3 linked regions of the Drosophila melanogaster genome follow. The protein of the gene in region 1 interacts with the protein of each later gene in a pairwise test. Each region holds a gene or a part of one and is shown in the gene's direction. Other genes may lie near its edges.

What was found.
Region 2: the proteins of mRpS18B (region 1) and CG12081 interact in a two-hybrid assay, tested with the Drosophila melanogaster proteins (one large-scale study listed by BioGRID).
Region 3: the proteins of mRpS18B (region 1) and CG6443 interact in a two-hybrid assay, tested with the Drosophila melanogaster proteins (one large-scale study listed by BioGRID).

What each region holds. Positions count from the first base shown.
Region 1 is NT_033779.5:20,095,750-20,099,327, reverse strand, and holds mRpS18B (mitochondrial ribosomal protein S18B), read left to right. Parts: upstream 1-2,074; 5' UTR 2,075-2,178; coding exon 2,179-2,462; intron 2,463-2,524; coding exon 2,525-2,855; 3' UTR 2,856-2,999; downstream 3,000-3,578. Other genes in the region: nesd (nessun dorma), read right to left, coding at 3,163-3,325, 3,389-3,578.
Region 2 is NC_004354.4:8,587,128-8,591,274, forward strand, and holds CG12081 (uncharacterized protein), read left to right. Parts: upstream 1-1,683; 5' UTR 1,684-2,023; coding exon 2,024-3,235; 3' UTR 3,236-3,647; downstream 3,648-4,147. Other genes in the region: CG12065 (uncharacterized protein), read left to right, coding at 131-398, 461-1,040.
Region 3 is NT_033779.5:10,727,191-10,730,871, forward strand, and holds CG6443 (uncharacterized protein), read left to right. Parts: upstream 1-1,787; 5' UTR 1,788-1,912; intron 1,913-1,990; 5' UTR 1,991-2,049; coding exon 2,050-2,118; intron 2,119-2,181; coding exon 2,182-3,012; 3' UTR 3,013-3,108; downstream 3,109-3,681. Other genes in the region: CG6431 (uncharacterized protein), read left to right, coding at 415-563, 644-1,078, 1,162-1,366, 1,423-1,486; CG17118 (uncharacterized protein), read left to right, coding at 3,109-3,192, 3,250-3,441, 3,508-3,681.

The sequences.
Region 1 (3,578 bases):
TCTTCAGGAATATATACTTCAAAGGGTCGGATAAATTTGTATTTACCTGTTACATGCTTCCCAGCGAATCTAGCATACCCTTTACTCGACAATAGCGGGTGTAAAAAAACATGCCAACTCCTGGAGCTGTGGGTGGAAGTGTAGCGATTGTGGGTGGTGGGCGGTGCTAACCGGAGAAACCCAAATGAATGTGAGAATGCCGACAACTAAGTTCTTTGGCGCCGCCTTCAGGGACGCCCACGCCTGTACTAGATACCCTGTAACCAATGGGTTCCATCAACTAGTTTGTTAATATAGTTTTATTCCGCTAACCAAAAACAAATCAAAAATTCCCTTCTTGCAAGAATTTTTAATGAAAATGTTTGTTCGGTGTGAACTAATATCGTTTGGTCGTTTCTTTTACGTATATCATATACATATATATCTGACGTCTTTTAACGTCTATATATTTTTATAAGCAATCTATTTTTAACTAAGCAGCACTTACACAACTTTAACTTTTACATTGGAAGAATTACAAAAATATAAAAATATATTATTAAATTGATGACTCTTGGTTAATTGAATAATTATAAGAGTTGCTTTTTGCATCGTTTTTCAAGTGATTTTAAAACCATTGCAATAAAAACCCAATGAACACTAGAAGTTTTTCAAAAATTTAAGAACTGACCAAAACAGAGAATCCGACCTTCGAGCTGCCCACCTTGCTTATTATTCATTTGTTTGGAAGCGAAAGGCATAGAAAAGGTCGCACAGCCAACAGGTAATAATTTGGCACAGCATAATCACGATTTTCGTAGTGGCGCCGCAGGAAAGGAACCATTTATTACACGAAATGCGCGAAAAGACACTCCAAATGGGAAAGTTGGTTTCGTTTTCCAAAGGCAGGTGGTTCGAAAAAGGTCCACTCTTTTCGTTTCGGGTGACAAAGCCACCAGCTTTTGTTTGCCCACCCCAACTGCGCTCTTGTTTTAAACATTTGTAGTTGGCATAGCGGTATTTATAGCCCTGTTTATTTGTTGTCGCGACTTTTCGCAAATTGATAAGAAACCTGCAATCGGCTCTATTTTTAAGGCAAGCGAAAATTACTTACCGCTTCGCCGGTGTTTCTTTTGTTATTGTCGGCGCTCAAAATTTGTTGTTGCTCGAGGCCTATTTCTTGCAACAATTAAATCTAAATGACCGTCTGCCAAGTATTGATTGGGACCAAAAACATGTGCACACGCAAGGAATTGTTAGGCATTTACTAACGTCGATTTACACCGAACCCAGGCGTCGGCGCTCTATTTTTTTATGGTGGCATCCAAATGTAAATAAATGCCGTGCTTTTTTCATTCGGTTTTTGTATGCACGTGATTTAAGGTTGCCCCACCGTACACTCACTCACACACACACACACACGCACGCAGCGCACTCTCGCACACACATACACGCGGGCGCGGGAGCTGCAGTAATAGTATCGCTACTTTGCACCAGTAAATTCCGAAAGAAACTAAACTAACGGGAAAACCGAACCGTACGGCGCAGCCATTTTCATTCATGCCCCCAAAGTCGCGTGTGTATGGGTGCCAGCGTGTGTGTCGGCCTTTACCGTTAGTTTGAGAGGCCATTTGGGGTTTGGTTTCGGCCATGTTGCCCTACTCACCGTTCAATTTAGCGGTTTCAAACGCCACAGTCTGTAACTTTAGTCCTTTTGTCGTTGTAAAAATTATTTAAATTTTGACGGTTAAGCAAATGCAAATTATGATTAAGAAATTTAAAACTACAACCGCAACCTTCAATAGCGTTATATTGGTTTCTATTTTAAAGAGAGTTATTGAACATTTGATACAAAAATTGAGTTGTAATATATTAAGGGTAATGCCGACACTTCTATAGCTGCTCAATCCTTTAAGCTTTTTAATATGGTTAGTATTTTATAGAACAGATTATATATTCTATGAAAATGTTTCTAGCATGGGCAGCCTTTAGATAGTAACAGTCAAAGTTTAAGTTAAAATTACTTTAATAATTATTAAAATAAACTTTTCTCGGGGAATACCCTAGTGAGAAATGTTCCGCCCCTGAATGTATCGATAGTCATGTATCGGAAAACAGCTGATCCGCCGGCTCCACGAATTTACCTTGTTACGTCGCCTCTGAATTTTTTGAAGTAACTTCAGGTTTTATTCAATTAAAATGTTGCCGATTGCACGTGGAATTTACATTGGACTGGTCAACATTACCCGGAATAGCCGGGGAGCTCTTCACACGGCCAGCGCCTTGAGATGCAAGGCGGAGACTTCGACTGAAGAAAATAATGCGGCTGCCACCGAAGGCGAAGGCGAGGATAACGCTAGTGGTTCCGCACCAGACCCGAAGGATCGCAGCAAACCAATCCCAGTGGAGACCTCGATTCGATACTTAAAGAGCGCCGCTTACAAGCAAACCTACGGCGAGGACTTTGTGTGGACGCAGTATCGGTAAGACGAACTGAAGGCATACACGTGAAAACTTCCATTGCATTCGCATCTAATCTCTTTAGGCGCAACCACAAGGGCATGTATGCGCCGCGCAAAACACGAAAGACGTGCATCCGCCAGAACCGTATCAGCACCGGAAATCCCTGTCCCATTTGCCGTGATGAATACCTGGTGCTGGACTACCGCAACACGGAGCTCCTGGAGCAGTTCATATCGCCCCACAGCGGAGACGTCCTTAGCTACTCAAAGACAGGCCTGTGTCAAAAGAGCCACCTGCGTCTAATGGTCGCCGTTCAGCAAGCCCGCGACTCCGGGTACCTAACATACGATGTGCCCTTCAGGGAGTATGATTACAGCGAGTACTACGGCCAGGAGCAGAAGCAGAAAGCTTAACCAACTAATGATTAACATGTTTTTATTAAAAGAAATTACTGTAAACAAATTCAGGTTATTGTTCGGAGTATTTATGTGTTAAAGGAAGTATTTTCTGGAAGACGCTCTGAGACGGTGTAATATTATATATTAACTAACTTTATCAAGAGTTAAAACCAATATGTAAGGTTTCGAGAATAGGACATCCAACGAAATTGCAACATCGAGACACTGGAGTTTGCCCGTATTATTTATTGACGCATATCAATAGGATTTTCGGTTAGCGCTAAATTTTAATTTATAAACACTATGTGTACACAATGTACCCCTAGACCAATTGAATATTTTCCTTGTTCTCCCCTCCGAGTTCGTCCTCGAGGAGTTGTTGATGCGATCGCTGAGCCAGCAGCTGACCGGATTCGTTAAAAACTCGCACATTTTTCTTGCAGTTGTAAAAGCTGCAATTACCTAGCAAGTTGTCCTCGTTGTAACTAAAAAATAAGGATATAAGTGGTAATTTTTGAACATGTAAAATACAACGTATTTTCATTTACCGCTGAAGTTCGCTGAATTTGTTTAGAACCAGGACCTTCTCTGTTCTTTGCTCTCCCAATACGAAACCATCGGCCAGGATTCCTAAAGCACAGTTTTCAAAACTGCACTTGCTACCCTGCAGATTAACCGAAGCGGATTTCTCCAGCAACTCCAGTCCAGTCTTGCATGTTTTAAACTGGACGCTTCCCA
Region 2 (4,147 bases), on another chromosome or scaffold:
TTGTTCCTTATTTCATGTTCTTTTCATTCCTCTTTGTATAATTTGGTATATATGTATCTATCAATGTCCTGAACGTAAACCGCTTTCTGTAAGCCAATCAATTGATCCAAACTTTCTCTCTACTCCACAGGCGAATCGAATGTGTATACTCTGGGCAATATCGGGGCGCACAGGATCGTGAGCACCAAGCTCCCGTCGGTGGGCAGCAATCGGGAGGCGATGACGGCGACGGGCAATACCACAACCCGTCTGTTGGGCACATTCCAAAAGGTCGACTATGTTTTCATCGTGGGCGTAGCCGGTGGCGTTCCCCACTACACGGACTATAAGAAGCACGTGCGACTGGGCGATGTGGTCATCTCGTATGTGGACAAACAGCGGGCACTGATCAGCAATAGGTAAGTTACACGAATATAAAATCTTCAATCTATCAATCGCATTCATGTATGGCTCTTCACAGCAAGGAGAAACCGTACGTGTACTTGTACAAGAGCGGCGAGGACGTGAAGACCTACTTCCCGGTGAACGATTCGCTGCAGCAGATCGCCGAGAGCCTGCAGGCCAACATGCAGGTGAAGCGGCCGTGGGAGGACTACCTGAACCAGGCCCAACAGGCGTTGGCCCAGAAGACGGATGCCGACTTCAACCGGCCGGACGCGCGGACGGACAAACTGTTTATGAACATTGGAAATAACGAGGTGATCGAGGTGGCCCATCCCATTGCCGCCGACGAGGTGGACGGTGTCAATCGGTTGCGACTCCATCTGGGTCCCATTGGATCCGGAAGGGATCTGGTGAGGAGCGACGAGCTGCGCACCCAGTTCGCCAGGAAGTACGGCCTACTGGCCACCGATGTGGAGATGAGCAGCGTGCTGGACAGCATCATTGGCAATTGCAGAGAGAGCTTTATACTGGTGAAGGGCATCGCTGACTACAAGGACGGCACGTCCACCAGGAAGTGGCAAAACTTCGCTGCCATTTCGGCGGCGTCGGTGGTTAAGTCGGTTATCTGCGGCATGGACGCGCCCACGAATGTATAGGAGGCGGGGCTTCGAATACCCCATTTCCTCCATTACACCCCAACCCCCCCGCCCACCCCTTCCCTGCAATCGTAGCATTTGATTTGCCTCCAATTTTCGTACCAATCCCGCTGCGGCGTCCCTTTATTTTTTTGTGGCCAGACACATGGGGACCACTATTCGTAAACCAAAATGTGCATAGATTGCATCATATATAATGTATGTTCGCGTAATATTGTATTAAATGATTTCTTGTTATTTATTTTGTTATAACTTTTGTACTACAATCAATCTAATTTACACACAAACACTTGACGTATATAAAAACACATATATACAACAGTAAATAAATATCGCAACTAAGCTTGCAAAAACTAAGAATATTCAATGAGAATTTGTGATTGAGTGAAAAAAAGTTCAGGTAAATTGACCAAAGACATTAGAATATTCTAATTCATTGTTTGGAGCTTCATCTTAAAAATCAATCTAGTGTAAATGCACATTGCCATTGCAACTGTTTCGCTAAAATAGCTAAATATTTAATGCAAATACATTGGATTTTCGAATTTGTCATTTTTTAAATGCAATTGTCAATCAGAAATCTATACTATCGATATCGATAACAGCACGACCCAGTGGAGCCCTGCTATTTCGTGCGTCCGCTCACGCACGCAACTCTGTGTGCTTGTGTTGTTCAAAAATTCGATCCGTTTCGTTTCGTTTCAACATCTGGCAAAACTGGCAGAGCGGAGCGCAGCTAGCGCTTGGTATCAGTGTTTATACCTGTGTGGCCTTCAATTGCTCGCACCTGCGCCCGCACCACCCTGCCCCCGCTCCCAAAAGGAGCGACAACTGCGGCGCACTTGCTTTCCTTTGTGTGTTTTGGCTGCTTGGGCTGCTCGGGCAGCTTGGGCCCAAAGCAAAGATCTCCGTCTCCTCGCACAGCACACTGGTGCTACACGGCTCGCAGCCCACAGCGCACAGCTTATCCAGTTGGCCAAGACATGCTGTGGACGGTGCATCTGGACGGTGGGCCACAGCGGGTCAATCACGCAGCGGTGGGCGTGGGCGACTTCATCTACAGCTTTGGTGGCTACTGCACCGGATACGATTATCGCTACAATGAGCCCATCGATGTGCACGCCCTGAATGCACACACAATGCGCTGGACTCTGGTGCCCCAGCAGCTGGACGACGCGGGTGTGCCACTCAAGTATCCGCTGGTGCCCTTCCAGCGCTACGGACACACGGTGGTGGCCTACAAGGATCGCATCTACATTTGGGGCGGTCGCAACGACGAGAATCTCTGCAATACCCTCTACTGCTTCGATCCCAAGACAGCGCAGTGGTCGAGGCCCCAGGTCACTGGCTGTCTACCCGGAGCGCGGGATGGTCACTCGGCCTGTGTCATTGGCAATAGTATGTACATCTTCGGTGGATTCGTCGATGAGATCAACGAGTTCAGCAGCGATGTGCATTCCCTTAATCTGGACACCATGGAGTGGCGCTATGTTCAGACATTTGGCGTGCCGCCCAGCTACAGAGATTTTCATGCGTCGGTGGCCTACGAACAGGAGCGAATGTACATCTTCGGCGGGCGGGGCGATAAGCACAGTCCGTACCACAGCCAGGAGGAGACCTACTGTCACGAGATCGTCTACCTGGACATGAAGACCAAGGTGTGGCATCGACCGTTCACGGCCGGTAAGGTGCCCGTTGGTCGACGCAGCCACAGCATGTTCGTTTACAACAAGCTGATATATGTCTTCGGTGGCTATAATGGCCTGTTGGATCAGCATTTCAACGATCTGTACACCTTCGATCCGCGCACCAAGCTGTGGAACCTGATACGGGCCAACGGCAAGGCACCGACGGCGCGTCGGAGACAGTGCGCCATTGTGATGGGCACTAGGATGTTCCTGTTTGGCGGCACCAGTCCAAGGAGCGGCTCCTCCAGCTCGCCGGCAGCTGTTTCACCCACTCAAGAGACGGGCGGAGCCGCAGCGGCTGGCGGAGTTGTTCCGCCCGGTGTGGCGCTTATCGACTACAGCGATCTGCATGTGCTCGACTTTGAGCCCACTCTAAAAACCCTGGCCACCATGGTGGTGCTCAAGCACCAGCTGGACATCTCGGGGCTGCCAAGGAGCTTCCGCTCGGACCTGCAGATGCTGACACAGCCGAACAGTATTAGCCGGCCCATCAACCAAGCTGGCTAGCGTCCAAAGCCGTAAGGAATAAGCCGGAGTCGACTGCCACAAAATGGAATGAGGTGGAAAAATGGTGTTGAATCACGGAGCCACTAGTCCGGTTCTTTGTATTGGAGCTCGAATAACACTTTCGGGAGAGATGACGAATGGAGGACCTGAGCGAACGAGGGAGAAGCCCCAGTAATTACAAAAGTTTTAGAAACTTGCTTTTGGTACTTCTGATAGCTGCTAAATAATACACAATAATTATGACCATGCGAATGTAGAATATAGTTCATGAAACATTTATAAATCGTCCTCAAATAATACACAATAATAATGACTATGCGAGTATAGAATATAGTTGATGAAACATTTATAAATCGTCCTTTCGCCAAAATGCCCGATAAGAAAATGAATATAATATCTTAAACTCATTAATCATATTATTCAGTTTTGTTTACTTTGCCTTCTTGCTGAATTTTGTATAGCTGGTTAACTTAACACTATATTAATCTGTGGGCCGTTCATTGCGAACTCCAAACTTGCACGAGTCGGCTGTTTAAATATTTGCTTTTCGCATTAGGATCTATGTGGCAGCCGTTTCGTTAATTTAGACACTTTCAAACCGCCAAGGTATTCATCTCACCTTGGAATTACCTAATCTATTTTTGCGGTCAAACTAGTGACAAATCTCTATAACTAATTTACAGAGATCATCTCCTTTTAGGCAGTGTATGCATATATATATATATATGGTAATTGTGGATGTAACTCCCCTTGAACGCGGTGTTCCAGGCAGGAAACAGTCATCGAATCACTTGAAAGCAACAGCCTCGCACGCAATGCCAGTAAGAGTAAGGTCAGCAGCGCTCTAATTGCCTATTATGAGTGGTAGTTGCAACGCAAGGCCTCCAGGTGCGGAACACAGCGAGTACTTGG
Region 3 (3,681 bases), 9.4 Mb from region 1:
TGGTTGTATAACAGCGGGAAATGACCGGGCTGACACCTCCGTTCTGGGAAATCCGCGAAGGAATACAAATTGCTTTTTCTGCAACTATTTAGTCTCGTTAAGAATTTCTGGAAACCGTTTGGCTTGTAATTGGTGATGTATTTTAACTCATAGTTGTAAAGTCTATAATTTGATCCACTTTAAATGAATTTTTCATTATTACTAGCTTGATATTCAATTGAAAATCTTTCAAGATTAACTAAAGTTAAGAGTTAGCATGCCCAGATCTGTGCTTGCTGCACGAGAGATTTCTACGGTTTTATACACACATGGAATTTCCATAGTTCTATTTAAATGTATGCACAAAAAAGAAAACAGAGATATCTGCAAAATACTATTCCATTATTATATAGTGGCTTTTTACAATATTTTCAGCAATGGACCGCGTCGTGGAACTCCTTTAAATGTTAAGAACCCAATAACGCTTTATAAAGGTGGATTTAGCAAGCACCGCGAGACTGTCTTCATAATACACGGATTCAATGGAACTGCCATAGATATTCACCTGCAATTCCTTCGAGATGGTGAGTGCATCTATCTGTTAAATTATTATATTCTACAATATTAAGCTATAATTTATATAACTTTAACTCTCTCTTTTTAGCTTACCTATCCCGCGATTTCAATGTCATTACAGTGGACTGGCGACCTTTGACCCGCTATCCATGCTACCTCCACTCGCTTATAAACACCAGGTTAACTGCGCAATGCACCGCCCAGATCTACGCCTTCCTCACCCACTACGGAGCTGTCCGGGAACGGATCACTTGCGTGGGTCACTCCCTGGGCGCCCACATCTGCGGCATGATCAGCAACCACCTGACGCGGAAACAGTATCGCATCATTGGATTGGATCCCGCCCGGCCTTTAATTGAGCGCATGAAGAGCAACAAGTTTCGGTTGTCGATCGATGATGCCAACGTCATTCAGGTGCTCCACACCAATGCCGGTTTCCTGGGCCAGGAGGATAACTCCGGGCATCTAAACTACTGTGTCAACGGTGGACGCATCCAGCCGTTCTGCAAAGGAAATCCAATCAGTAAGGCTAAATTAAAGTAGTTTAATACCCTCTTTCTCGGAAAAAGAAATCATATATAAATAAATGTGCTCTCTATCAAACAGGAAAATCGCGATGTTCGCACTTCTTGAGCATCTGCTACTTGGCCACTGCCACATTTAAACACAATAAGTTCATGGGAGTACCGTGTCCCAATGGCTGCCTGAATCTTAGTGGATCCAAGAGGCTGCCAGTGAGCGGCAAAGTGAATCCCTTCGAGTTCGCCTCGCTGATAAGGGAGTACCACATAGGCAACGATGCCCCCGATGAGTAAGTTTATTAAAAACCATATATATAATTTATAACCAATTTCATATTTGATTTAGCGCCCGAGGCTGCATTTGCATTGATGTGCCGTATGCCAAGCACTGCCCCTTTACGGATGCGTAGGAGCTGGTCTTCAGTAGTTTGTAATTCTATGATAAAGCTGTCGATAATAAATTCAAGTAATATTATTTTTTTGGTCTTTGGGTATTTTAGTAAATATGAAGGAAAAATGAGAAATAATTACTTACCTTCTACTACACGTAGTAGGAGTTTATTATTAAAATGTTGCAAATTCCAAATTTAGTTTTCGAAAATTTAAAAATCAAATTCGATATACTAAGAGTTTGGTTCACCGTAATATACCAAAATTTATATCGAATATATGATATCGATGTTTGCAATCGTCATTGCAGTCGCTACAGCTGTTTGGTGTTTTACCATCTCTATGGACATTGTGTATATAAAACATTTGTTATTGCTCATAACAGAATTTCTCCATTTACTACAACCTGAAGATATATAGTTATTTATATCGTTAGTTTATTTAAAGTAAGTAAGATACTTATACCGTGTAAAATGTAAAACAATTGAAAAATATCATAACCCATTGTAAATCGCATATTATAGTTTGCCCAACAAGGAATTCCCAGGAAATATATTGTAATTCTTGAGATAAATATATAATCATGGGTTGCGATGGAGGAACTATTCCCAGGCGCGATGAGCTGGTGCGCGTGAAGCAAAAGCCAGAGCAGGTAAGTCTATTCGATTGGAGCACCTCCTAGCCAGACCGAAATATCATTTCTCGAACCCTACAGAAAGACAAAGATGCGGAGAGGGAGTTCCGTTGGCGCCACTGCACCTTGACCCAGCAAAGCCTCCAGGAGCCGATCGCCATGTGCGGCATGGGTAGGCTCTATTCCAAGCAGAGCGTCATTGAGCGACTGCTGGAGAAGGAACCGATGCCAGAGACAGCTGCGCACGTGAAGAGCATGAAGGACATTCGCCAGCTTAATCCCACACCCAATCCCGCCTTCACCGAGGAGGACAAAACTGAGGGACTGCTGGACACACGACATTCTCCTTACATCTGCAAGCTGATTGGCCTGGAGATGTCCGGCAAATTTCGCTTTGTGGCCCTTTGGAGCTGCGGATGCGTTTTATCAGAGCGTGCCTTGAAACAGATCAAAGGCAGTGTGGCTAGCACTTGTCCGCTGTGCCAGGCTGCCTATAGCGTTGAGGACGTGGTGGTCCTCAATGGCAACGAGGAGGACATGGAGCTCATGCGGGTCAAGATGGAAATGCGTGCGGCCAAGCGTAAGTCCTCCAAAAAGGACAAGAAGAGTGCCAAAAAGGTGGAGGTGAAAGCGGAGCCCGCAGAGGAACAGGAGCCAGTGGCGTCCACATCCAAGGCTGCAGCCGCAGAGAAGCCCACTACAAGCACAAAAACCAAGGCGGTGGCGCCGGTCAAACGACTGGGCGCCGTTAATGCAATGCAGGATCCCGAACTGAAGCGTCTCAAGAGCGACTTCAGCGTGGCCAAGGACCCGAAGGCCAGCGATGTTTACAAGTCCCTTTTCACCTCCCATAAAACCGAAAAGGACCAGGAGCGCGCCCACTGGGTCACCTATAATCCATTCTACAATTAGTCTAGATTTCGTTTAAGTTTGCTGTGTTAACTCAGTCACATGTCCATAGTTTGATCGTTGAAACCACACACACAGTTTCAAAATATACAACCGACAATGTATCGTGCAGCCTATCAAAAAGGTTTCCTTACCGTGCTTTACAGCGTAGGCAGTTCGCCCCTGAACAACTGGTCTTCCTATGTGAGTATCTGGCATTCAATGCAGCTGCCTCGTCTCTAGAAAGCATCCTTGTAACAGACCAAAAACGGGTATATCAAACGGATCTACGATGAGGACATCAAGTCCCTGGTGCTCGAGATAATGGGCTCAAATGTGTCCACCACATTCATACACTGCCCCAGCGAATGCAAGGAGCAGCTGGGCATCAAGTTGCCCTTCCTGGTGCTCCTTATAAAGAACATGCACAAGTACTTTTGCTTCGAAGTTAAGGTAAGGCCAAGTGCTATGAATTTATAGTAAACTCTGGACTGCACAATGATGACAATATATCCTTAGATTCAAGACGATCAGCGCTTCATGCGCCGTTTCCGAGTGTCCAATTTCCAGAGCAAGACCTCCGTGAAGCCCTTCTGCACGGCGATGCCGATGGGCATGTCACCGGGGTGGAACCAGATCCAGTTTAACCTGGCCGACTTCACGCGCCGTGCTTACGGCTCCAACTATCTGGAG